3 linked regions of the Anolis sagrei genome follow. The protein of the gene in region 1 interacts with the protein of each later gene in a pairwise test. Links are inferred from orthologs where the notes say so. Each region holds a gene or a part of one and is shown on either strand. Other genes may lie near its edges.

Region 1 (3,751 bases):
GTATAAATATGTGAGGAGAAGCCATCGGGAGGATGGGGCAGGCTTGTTTTCTTCTGCCCTGGAGACTAGGACGTGGAACAACAGCTGCAAACTACAGGAAACCTAACATTAGGAAGAACTTCCTAACTGTGAGAGCTGTTGAGCAGTGGAACTCTCTGCCCTGGAGTGTGGTGGAGGTTCCTTTTTTGGAGACTTTTAAGCAGATGCTGCTTTACAATGTTTTTAGACTGGACTATGGAGAGGCTCTGGACTGGGCTGTTGGTCGCTGAATCAAACTCGGATATGGCTATATGGTTAATAATAATCTTTAAATGGTTTTTAATTTAATGTATTATTTAATGTTTTTATTGTAATGTATTTAATGTATTATTTGTTTTATTGTAATGTGTTTAATGTATTATTTAATGGTTTTATTGTAATATTTTGTATGTTGCCGGCATCAGATTGCTGTCATTGTAAGCTGCCCTGACTCCCCTCTTGGGAGTAGAGAATGACGGGGTATAAATGTTTGAAATAAATAAATAAAATTTTCCTGCTTCTTGGCAGAGGGTTGGATTGGACGGCCCACAATGTCTCTTCCAACTCTATGATTCTATGAATGAAGAGATGACCAATGCTGTAGATCAGTGGTTCTCAACCTGTGGGTCCCCAAATGTTTTGGCCTACAACTCCCAGAAATCCCAGCCAGTTTACCAGCAGTTGGGATTTCTGCGAGTTGAAGGCCAAAATATCCCAGGACCCACAGGTTGGGAACCACTGCCGTAGATTATATCTGTCAAGAAATTTACAAAATCACTTCTAAGTATTCCCTGCTGGTAGGGGGGATGGGGTGGACAACTATGAGATCTATTTGCCACCATTGAGTCAATAGATGAGTCAAAGGCACATAAAGATAGATGCAAGGGCTCGATCTACACAGCCCTGTGATGCAGTTCCACAATGCAGATGAACTGGAGTGATGATACGGCAGTGTAGACTAGGCATGGGCCAACTTGGGCCCTCTAGATGTTTTGGACTCCAACTCCCACCATTCCTCACAGCCTCAGGCACCTTCCTTTTCCCCCTTGGCCGCTTAAGCGGCCGAGGGGGAAAAGGAAAGGGCCTGAGGCTGTGAGGAATGGTGGGAGTTGGAGTCCAAAACACATGGAGGACCCAAGTTGGCCCATGCCTAGTGTAGACTCTCAAAATCCAGCCTGAGGTTGTGAGGAATGGTGGGAGTTGGAGTCCAAAACACCTGAAGGACCCAAGTTGGCCCATGCCTAGTGTAGACTCTCAAAATCCAGTTCAATGCCTTCTGAAACTGCATTGCAGGCCAGTGTAGGTCCAGCTCAGGGCATCGATCAGACTGACAGCGTTGTTTAACAGTGTCTCTCTCAAAGTAGCAGCTCACGACCATAAACAACAACACAGGGGTGATGAGGAGACGTGCCTGGGTGCCAAGATCACACGTGACGGTGTACACGTAGGTGACACGCCATTTTCTACAAAGAAAAAAAAGCGGCATGGTGTGTTACCAGGGTGTGAAGACAGAATGAGACTGAGAGAGAGACCTCAGAAGGAGAGAGCTGGGCCTCGCGCCCTCTGAGGCCCACTCACAGCAGAAGCAATAGCAGTATCCGTTTTCCCTCAGAAGAAGGGGATTTTTGGGCCTCTGTTTCCTACCTGCATCCCGCCACCGCCGTCGGGCTCCGCCTCGGTCCGCAGCCTCTTGCTCTGCCCGCCCTCGGCGCCCTCCCCGCCCGGCATCGGCTGCTCCAGCTCGGGCTCCCGCTTCAGCCCTCGAGGGGCGGCCGAGGAAGAGGAGGAGGAGGAGGGGACGCCGCCGCCGAGCACCAGCTGCTGGTGCGGGATGCCTTCCGCCATCCGAGCCGGAGCCCGGCCGCCCCGCTTTCCCTCAAGGAGAGGAAGGAAGGCTTCTCCCGGTGGAGGCCCAAGCGGGAAGGAAGGGAGGAAGGAAGGTCGCTCGCTGAGGGGAAAGCACTGAGTGAGGCTTGTCTCTCTTGCTTTCTCTCTTAGGGGGAAAAAAAGGAGACCCGACGAAGCGCCGAAGCAGTTCGGGGCCTGTGCCGGAAAGTGCCGAGGGCGCTCGGGAAAAAAAAAGACCCTCGGCAATCTCCGGAAAGCACTCGAAAAGGAGACCCTCTCACTCGGGAATGGCGGAGTCAGGGGGAAAGGGGCGGGGCTACTGCCCTACAAGGGGCGGGGTTACGGAGGGAGGGAACGAAAGGCCCAGGCGGGAAAGAATTGAGTGAGGTTTCTCTTTGAGGGGGAAAAGGAGGCCCGCCAAAGCGCCGATGCAGTTCGGAGCCTGTGGCGGAAAGTGCCGACGGCGCTCGGGGAAAAAAAAGACCCTCGGCAATTTCCGGAAAGCACTCGAAAAGGAGAGCCTCTCAGAAAGCTTCGGGATGGCGGAGTTGGGGGAAAGGGGGCGGGGCTACTACCCTAGAAGGGGCGGGGCAACGGAGGGAGGGAAAGAAGGTCGCTGAGGGAAAGAACTGAGTGAGGTTTTTCTTTGAGGGGGAAAAGGTGGCCCGCCGAAGTGGCGAAGCAGTTCGGGGCCTGTGGCGGAATGTGCCGACGGCACTCGAGGGAAAAAAAGACCCTCGGTAATCTCCGGAAAGCACTCGAAAAGGAGACCCTCTCACTCGGGAATGGCGAAGTCGGGGGGAAAGGGGCGGGGCTACTGCCCTAGAAGGGGCGGGGCTACGGAGGGAGGGAAAGAAGGTCGCTGAGGGAAAGAACTGAGTGAGGTTTTTCTTTGAGGGGGAAAAGGTGGCCCGCCGAAGTGGCGAAGCAGTTCGGGGCCTGTGGCGGAATGTGCCGACGGCACTCGAGGGAAAAAAAGACCCTCGGTAATCTCCGGAAAGCACTCGAAAAGGAGACCCTCTCACTCGGGAATGGCGAAGTCGGGGGGAAAGGGGCGGGGCTACTGCCCTAGAAGGGGCGGGGCTACGGAGGGAGGGAAAGAAGGTCGCTGAGGGAAAGAACTGAGTGAGGTTTTTCTTTGAGGGGGAAAAGGAGGTCTGCCAAAGCGCCGAAGCAGCTCGGGGCTGTGGCGGAAAGTGCCGACGGCGCTCGGAAAAAAAGACCTTCGGCAATGTCCGGAAAGCACTCAAAAAGGAGACCCTCACACTTGGCAAGCTTCGGGATGGCGGCGTCGGGGGATAGGGGCGGGGCTACTGCCCTAGAAGGGGCGGTGCCTGTGGCGGAAAGTGCTCGGAAAAAAGACCTTCGGCAATGTCCGGAAAGCACTCAAAAAGGGGTCCCTCTCACTCGGCAAGCTTCGGGATGGGAGAGTAGAGGAGGAAGGGGCGGGGCTACTGCTCTAGAAGGGGCGGGGCCACGGAGGGAGGGAACTAGAGGCCCAGGCGCGAAGGAGGGAAAGAATTAAGCCAGGCTTCTCTGAGAGGGAAAAGGACACCCGCCGAAGCACCGAAGCAGCTCGGGGCCTGTGGCGGAAAGTCCCGACGGCGCTCGGGGGAAAAAAAAAGACATTCGGCAATGTCCGGAAAGCACTCGAAAAAGAGACTCTCTCACTCGGAAAGCTTCGGGAATGGCAGAGTTTAGGAGAGAAGGGGCGGGGCTACGGAGGGAGGGAATGTTTATTCTCCTTAGTTTGAGTCTGGCGGAGGGAAGGGAGGAAAGCGCGTCATCTGGCTGCCAGGCATTGTGCCAGCAATGTGTCTAAATTGGGCACCATGGTTTTTTTTTCTGCCAGAATGCTTTCAGCCACACCAAACAGTTGTGGTGC
Region 2 (3,751 bases), on another chromosome or scaffold:
TAATAGTAATGGTGTTTTTGTTTTAATTGATTGTTTTTTGCTTTTATGTCTTGTGGATACTCTGTCCCATATGTAAGCTGCCCCAAGTCCCTTCGGGGCGATAGTTTATAAGACTAAAGTTTTTGGGGGTTGTTTTTTTTTTTGGTCAGGAGCGACTTGAGAAACTGCAAGTCACTTCTGGTGTGAGAGAATTGGCCATCTGCAAGGACGTTGCAAAGGGGATGCCCGGGTGTTTTGATGTGTTACCATCCTTGTGGGAGGCTTCTCTCATGTCCCCACATGTGCAGGAGCTGACAGAGGAGTCGAACCTCTGACGTATCAGTCTTTAGTCCTGGTGGCACAAGAGATTAATGCACTGTGCCACCGGGAATTCCCAGAATAAAGTTGTTATTATTATTATTATTATTATTATTAAACTTTTATTCTGTGCATAAAAACCACTTTGAGTCTACTTTGTGGAGAAAATGGGCGGGGTATAAACAAGCATAATAAACTAATAATAATAATAATAGTATAATTAAAATAATAATAATAAATCAATCTAAAAGTGGGAGGGAGGCATTTCTAATTTCATCCCTATACAATAATATAGATGGGTTCCTGAGTGAAATGTATATAACAAAAATACCACTTGTATAACATAAACAATGATATAATTCAATAACAGTATATAAACATGCTGCACTGTTAACCTCACAGCGACAACAAACAGTATGGTGCAAACTTTTAGTACAGTCGTATTTTCTTATAAGTAGCTTGAGTAACAGCCTACCACAATTCAACAATATATATACATGCTGCACTGTTAAGTCCACAGCGACAACAAACAATGTGGTGCAAAACTTTTAGTACAGTCGTGTCTTCTTATAAGTAGCTTGTGGGACAGCCGACCACGACCGGTTTCGGCCTAGTCCACCAGAGGAAGGCCTGAGGTAGGCCGAAACCGGTCATGGTCGGCTGTCCCACAAGCTACTTATAAGAAGACACGACTGTACTAAAAGTTTTGCACCACATTGTTTGTTGTCGCTGTGGGCTTAACAGTGCAGCATGTATATATATTGTTGTTGAATTGTGGTAGGCTGTTACTCAAGCTACTTATAAGAAAATACGACTTTACTAAAAGTTTGCACCATACTGTTTGTTGTCGCTGTGAGGTTAACAGTGCAGCATGTTTATATACTGTTATTGAATCATAATTTCATCCCTAGCCTATCCTGATTAACACAGCCTCTACAGCAGGCATGGGCAAACTTCGGCCCTCCAGGTGTTTTGGACTTCAACTCCCATACTTCCCAACAGTCTAGGAATTATGGGAATTGAAGTCCAAAAAAACCTGGAGGGCCGACGTTTGCCCATGCCTGCTCTAGAGAAACAGTACGAATTTTAATGTATTGTCGAAGGCTTTCATGGCCGGAATCACTGGGTTGTTGTAGGTTTTTTTTGGGCTATATGGCCATGGTCTAGAAGCATTCTCTCCTGACATTTCACCTACATCTATGGCAAGCATCCTCAGCGGTAGTGGGGTCTGTTGGAAGTAGAAAAATAGGTTTATATATCTGTGGAATGACCAGGGTGGGACAAAGAACTCTTGTCTGTTGGAGCTTGGTGTGAATGTTCCAACTGACCACCTTGATTAGCATTTGATGGCCTGGCAGTGAGAGGTGAGAGATGATTAGACGTCCAAGATTGTTTCCTCTCTGTTGTTTTGCTGTTGTAATTTTAGAATTTTTTTAATACTGGTAGCCAGATTTTGGTCATTTTCATGGTTTCCTCCTTTCTGTTGAAATTGTTTTACCTCAAGAAAATGAATGTTACCTCAGGGAAAAAGTACAAGGAGTATTCCCTGAGGTAAAATTCAAGAATGCCGCCCTAGAAACTGGAAACAAAGTGAGAAATGCCTCTTTTCCCCACTTTTGCTTTGTTTTATGAGGTTATAAAGAGTTGTTTCCCACACTCGGGTCTTCCAGACGCTTTGGACTCCATCTCCCATGATCCTTGGCCATTGGCCGTGGCAGCTGAGGCTTCTGGGAGTTGAAGTCCGAGCCCCTGTAGGAGGCGGGGAGGCGGATTTTGGCTCTCCCCTTCTCACTGCCTTCCTTCCTTCTTTTTTCCGCGCCCTCCGCCTCGTCCCCTCCGGCCCCGCGCTCACCTCGCTCCCGCTCTCCAGTAGTAGCCATTCCTCGCTGAGGCCCGCGCGCTTCAAGCACCAAGGCCGAGCGGGCTCCTCCGAAAGGCCGCTACTCGTGCTGCTGCTGCTGCTGCCGGCGCCAAAACACGCCGCCATTTTCCGCCGCCCGCGCGAGAGCGACGCAGGCAAAAGCAATCGAACAAAGCATAGATAGGCCCCGCCCTGCTTCGGGCAACGTACCGTTACGCCTTCAAGTGTCCCTCATTAAAGATGGCGCCTCACACAGGACAGCCGCAGGCACGCTCAATTGATACCGGAGGCAGACACCCTTGTTGCGTGTGCATGATGCGTTACACCGCAACTGTATCACAAACAAACCTTTCTCAACCCTGGTGAGATGCTTGACTCAGGCGCACCTACACTGTTGAAGGGATGCAGTTGGGCACCGCTGCCATGCCAGAGTGGTGTGGGATCGTGGGAGTTGTAGTTTCACAAGGTCTGAGCCTTCTGTGCCCAAACTACAGCTCCCACGGGTCCACCACAAGGTCTTCAACTACCTCTCTTGTCAAACTTCGTAGTTTTACAAGGTCTTGAAACCTCCTCTCCCAAAGAGGGCTGCTGCCCTCACCAAACTACAAATCCCAGGGTTCCAAAGCACTGAGCCATGGCAGTTAAAGTGGGGTCAAACGGCCTTCATTCTGAACTGTAGGTGCACCTGTTCATAGAATCATAGAGTTGGAAGAGACCTCATGGGCTATCCAGTCCAACCCCCTTCCAAGAAGCAGGAATATTGCATTCAAAGCACCCCCGACAAATGGCCATCCAGCCTCTGTTTAAAAACCTCCAAAGAAGGAGCCACCTTATGTCCAGTGCCATGTGCATTTCAATTGAAAGTGCATGAGCTTTATTTATTTATTTATTTATTTGATGCATTTATTAACCGCCATTCTCAGCCCTTAAGGGCGACTCATGGCGGTGTACAATACATATAAAGACAATTTACAAAAGGCTAATTACAACAACATATAAACTATACGACAATTACAAACTACGCTAAAAATCCGCTTCGTCTCTTAGTGGAATCATAACCAGTCTCATATACCTTGTTCCATTCCAGTCATCTTTACCACATTGTTATAGCACTCAATTAAATGCCTTCTCGAACAGCCATGTTTTGAGGCTTTTTCGGAAGGACATGAGGGAGGGCGCCTGTCTGATGTCTGCAGGGAGAGCGTTCCACAGCCGGGGGGCCACCACCGAGAAGGCCCTCTCTCTCGTTCCCGCCAGACGTGCCTGTGAGGCAGGCGGGATCGAGAGAAGGGCCCCCCCAGATGATCTCAAGTTCCTCGTGGGCTCGTAGGCCAAGATGCGGTCCGAAAGGTATTTTGGGCCGGAACCGTTTAGGGCTTTGTAGGCCAGAACCAGCACCTTGAATTGGGTCCGGTAGCAAATCGGCAGCCAGTGGAGCTGGGACAACAAGGGCGTTGTGTGCTCCCTGCCACCCGCTCCAGTTAGTAACATGGCTGCCGCGCGCTGAACCAGCTGAAGCTTCCGGGCCGTCTTCAAGGGCAGCCCCACGTAGAGAGCGTTGCAGTAGTCAAGGCGGGATGTGACCAGAGCGTG
Region 3 (3,751 bases), on another chromosome or scaffold:
AATATGAGCCTTGCATATTTGTGCTCACTATTTCATACCAATTTTATAGAGATCTAGATTTGAAAATTGCTGGTTTCTTAAGGATCTTTTTCTCCCTAAACTCATTCAAAATACTTTCCCCTTTGATGGACATGTTTTTATGATGATGATGACGATGACGACGATGATGATGATGAATTTCAGGATGAAAGCTGTTGGTAGCAGCAAAAATTAAAAATAAATACAGGTTGGACATCCCTTACCAGGTATTCCCAAATGTTGCAAATCCAAAATTGTCCACATAGGTGGCACTTTTGCTTTCTGGTGATTCAAAGGTACACAAACTTTGTTTCATGCACAAAATTATTTAAAATATAGTATATGAAATTTCCTTCAGGCTATGTGTATAAGATGAAACAGAATTCAAATTCTGAATTTAGATTTGGGCCCCCATCTCCAAGGTATCTCACTATTCAAAGGCAAGTATTCCAAAATCAGGAAAAACGTCCAAAATTTCTCCGATTCAAAACATTTTGGATAAGGGATACTCGATCTGCAGTGTATTGTACCATAAACATTTGTATTTTGCAACATTATGATATCGGCTTTATGAAATAAAGTCTTTTTGGGAATGTATATGTGAAATCATGTGAAAACACACAAAGTTCAAGACCACTTCGATTTGGCTAAGCAAAATTATTTGCCAGTTTGGTAATATGTATTTGAGTGCCTTAAATGGCAAAACGTATTCGTTCCCCACTCCCAATTTCACAGGTATGATAACCGCTGTACTGTGATATTTACAGATTGGTCCAGCAAATTAGCAAACATGGCTATAGTTACAAAACTAGATTTACTTTTCCTCTTCTTCGCTCATTACAGCTGCAGAATACATTCAAAGATGTTCACTCATTATGGGCTTTTCTAGAGGGAGTAATCTTACATTTGAAAAACAAGGCACACACATTGGAAAATAAGAAAAAGTATAAGGTGTAAACAATTATGCATTTTCATACTCTATGCCTTGCAGTTTAGACCCAGCTTGATGCAAAGTTTGAGTGTTGAGAGGACCTGCTCTCGCTCCTGCCCCCTTTGCAGGAGCGATTGGTGGGGACAAGTGAAGAGGGCCTTCTCTATGGTGGCCCTCAACTGGAACTCACTCCCCAAGGATATCAGGCAAGCCCTCACATTGGCAGTCTTTAGGAGGAGCTTGAAAACATGGCTGTTCCAGCGTGCCTTCCCTGAATAAAGGAAACAATGCCCTGCTCTGACCAATTCCTTGCAAAATGTCCTCAAAAGCGCCCAGTATATATTTTAAAATTTTAAACTATTCCATCTGGCCCGGCCATAGATTTTTAATTTTTTTTACATTTTTGTGTGTTATTGCCTATATGTGAGTTATATTAATTGTATTGTTTTATTTGCTTATTGCTCTGTTGCTTCACTGATGTGTTGTTGGGCTTGGCCTCATGTAAGCTTTGTCTTTCTCTCATTATGCTTCGTTCCTGTGTTTTGTGTATATTGTTTTATATGCTTTGATGTTTTATATTTTAATGTTATGTTGTTTATTTTATTGCAATTTGTATTGTTATATTGTAATTCTTGTTCGGGCTTGGCCCCATGTAAGCCGCTCCGAGTCCCCTTTGGGGAGATGGTGGCGGGGTACAAACAAAGTTTATTATTATTATTATTATTATTATTATTATTATTATTATTATTATTATTATGCCGCCCTGAGTCCCCTTGGGAAAATGGTGGTGGGGTATAAATAAAGTTGTTGTTGTTGTTGTTGGACAATGACTCACTTGACTATGGAAACCCACTGGGTGACCTTGAGCAAGTCACACTCTCTCAGCTTCAGAAAACCCGTGATATGTTCACATTAGGGACAGCATATGTCACAAACAACTTGAAGGTGCGTAACAACAAATCATGTAGTTTAAACCATTAATATTAACTTTTTTTCTCAGCTTCCTTCCACACAGCAGAATAAAATCCCACATTATCTGCTTTGAACTGGAATATATGGCAGTATGGACTCAGATAACCCAGTTCAAAGCAGATCTTGCGGAATTTTCTGGGTTATTTGGCTGTGTGGAAGGGCCCTCAGTGCATCTCGCCATTTATTTTATCCCAATATTTTTTCTCCACTTTCTACCATGCCAAAATCTCTGCCTGGCCATGATACAGTCTGTTCCTAAAAGTATGCTTTGCCCGCTTCTGCAATTCATGGCACTTCCCTAAAGTTTCCTCCTACTTGTTAGTTAAATGCGCCATCACATCTTTTCTTCCAAGGCTAGACAATCCTTGCATTAGATAACATGCAACTTTGACCTCTGGCGGCAGTGAAATATGTGTTTATTTGATATACTTGGGAAAGAAATATGTGTTTATTGGACATACTTGGGAAAGAAGACTCTCTCGACACTGCAGCCTTATCCCTGCTGTTGCTGTCATTCATGCAGAGAAACTTGTCCTACAACAAGAACACTAAACTTTCGAGAGCGTAGATTACTTCTACTTACCAACCCCAATATCTGTCCATACCTTAAAGTGTACAGGGAGAGAGTCACTCACTCACCGCCAGACAGTGGGAATCCTGTTCTGCCCAAGCGCGGTTGCAGAGAAAGTATCTTATTCCAAACCCCAAAGGAGTAGGAGAAAGCAGCATTTGGCTCTTGGCCTCACTTCCATTGCCTGACTGTGCCGGGTAGTTTTCTGACACCCATCAGCATTCCTCCTCCCCCTTCTTGGGTATCATTTTGGCAACAACTTTCTACTATGTGCCAACACACACACCACTGATTCCATATATGTGTTTAGTTGACAGATAGTAGGGTTGCCATATTCCAGTCCTTCCCAGACACCCGATATGCATATTATGTAAATTACTATAATTGTGCACATTATTTTATTTATAGTAAATTTTATTAGTACTATAAACTTCATAATAAAACATCATGAAAACAAAAAGAAAACGACAAAAGCCACAAAACAGAACATATCTCATAGTATAGTGCCATACTGTCAAGAGGGAAAAATAGGATCACGTGTCATTACCATGTTTACTGAAGGATACAAATAACCGGTCTTAGGGATGGCATATTCGTAGGTGATGCTCCAAATGAGCATGAGCTGACAAGCTTAGAATGCCAATAATATCTCGCCAACTGGATAGTATGGTAACCCCACAGATAGCCCTTCAACAAGATATTAGTAAGACAGAGTGATGCAAATATTTATCGCAGCCTCTGTGCAATGGCTCTGTGAATGAAGAAGATATTAAAGGCTTCAATAAATTACATATAGCAAAATCTTCTTTATTTCTTTTTCCCTTTGGTATTTATAAATTTATAAAAATAACTCAACAAATTGTTGGAGAGGGTGTCAAGAACCAGGAACATATATACACATGTGGTGGCAATGTAAATATGTAAATAATTTTTGGGAGAAAGTATTTAGAGAAATAGAAACTATAATGAATATAGAATTAGATAAAAGCCCTAGTATAGCCTTACTATCAATATATAAAGATAAGCAATTGAAAAAGGAGGATAAAGAAGCGATAACAAACTTACTAACTATAGCAAGACTGCTTATAGCAAGGAATTGGAAAAAAGAAATGAATATACAAATAGAGGAGTGGTATAAAGAAGCATGGAAAATAGCAATAAATGATAAATTGACATGTATATTAAAGGTTAAAAAAGGTATATGGAAACAAAGCGATTTTGATGCTGTATGGGGAAGATTTGTGGTAAATGGATTAAAA

Evidence for each region.
Region 2: the proteins of RBFOX2 (region 1) and RNF8 interact in binary tests that used the Homo sapiens proteins (3 or more experiments, as listed by UniProt). The two-hybrid records come from large-scale screens. The link is inferred for Anolis sagrei from reciprocal best matches to the Homo sapiens genes RBFOX2 and RNF8.
Region 3: the proteins of RBFOX2 (region 1) and BOLL interact in binary tests that used the Homo sapiens proteins (3 or more experiments, as listed by UniProt). The two-hybrid records come from large-scale screens. The link is inferred for Anolis sagrei from reciprocal best matches to the Homo sapiens genes RBFOX2 and BOLL.

The regions. Positions count from the first base shown.
Region 1 is NC_090025.1:166,836,550-166,840,300, reverse strand, and holds the start of RBFOX2 (RNA binding protein fox-1 homolog 2), read right to left. Parts: upstream 2,252-3,751; 5' UTR 1,864-2,251; coding exon 1,663-1,863; intron 1-1,662. UniProt on the Homo sapiens protein: RNA-binding protein that regulates alternative splicing events by binding to 5'-UGCAUGU-3' elements. Prevents binding of U2AF2 to the 3'-splice site.
Region 2 is NC_090021.1:47,993,828-47,997,578, forward strand, and holds the start of RNF8 (E3 ubiquitin-protein ligase RNF8), read right to left. Parts: upstream 2,304-3,751; 5' UTR 2,285-2,303; coding exon 2,150-2,284; intron 1-2,149. UniProt on the Homo sapiens protein: E3 ubiquitin-protein ligase that plays a key role in DNA damage signaling via 2 distinct roles: by mediating the 'Lys-63'-linked ubiquitination of histones H2A and H2AX and promoting the recruitment of DNA repair proteins at double-strand breaks (DSBs) sites, and by catalyzing 'Lys-48'-linked ubiquitination to remove target proteins from DNA damage sites.
Region 3 is NC_090021.1:178,586,189-178,589,939, reverse strand, and holds the start of BOLL (protein boule-like), read right to left. Parts: upstream 2,673-3,751; 5' UTR 2,651-2,672; coding exon 2,561-2,650; intron 1-2,560. UniProt on the Homo sapiens protein: Probable RNA-binding protein, which may be required during spermatogenesis. May act by binding to the 3'-UTR of mRNAs and regulating their translation.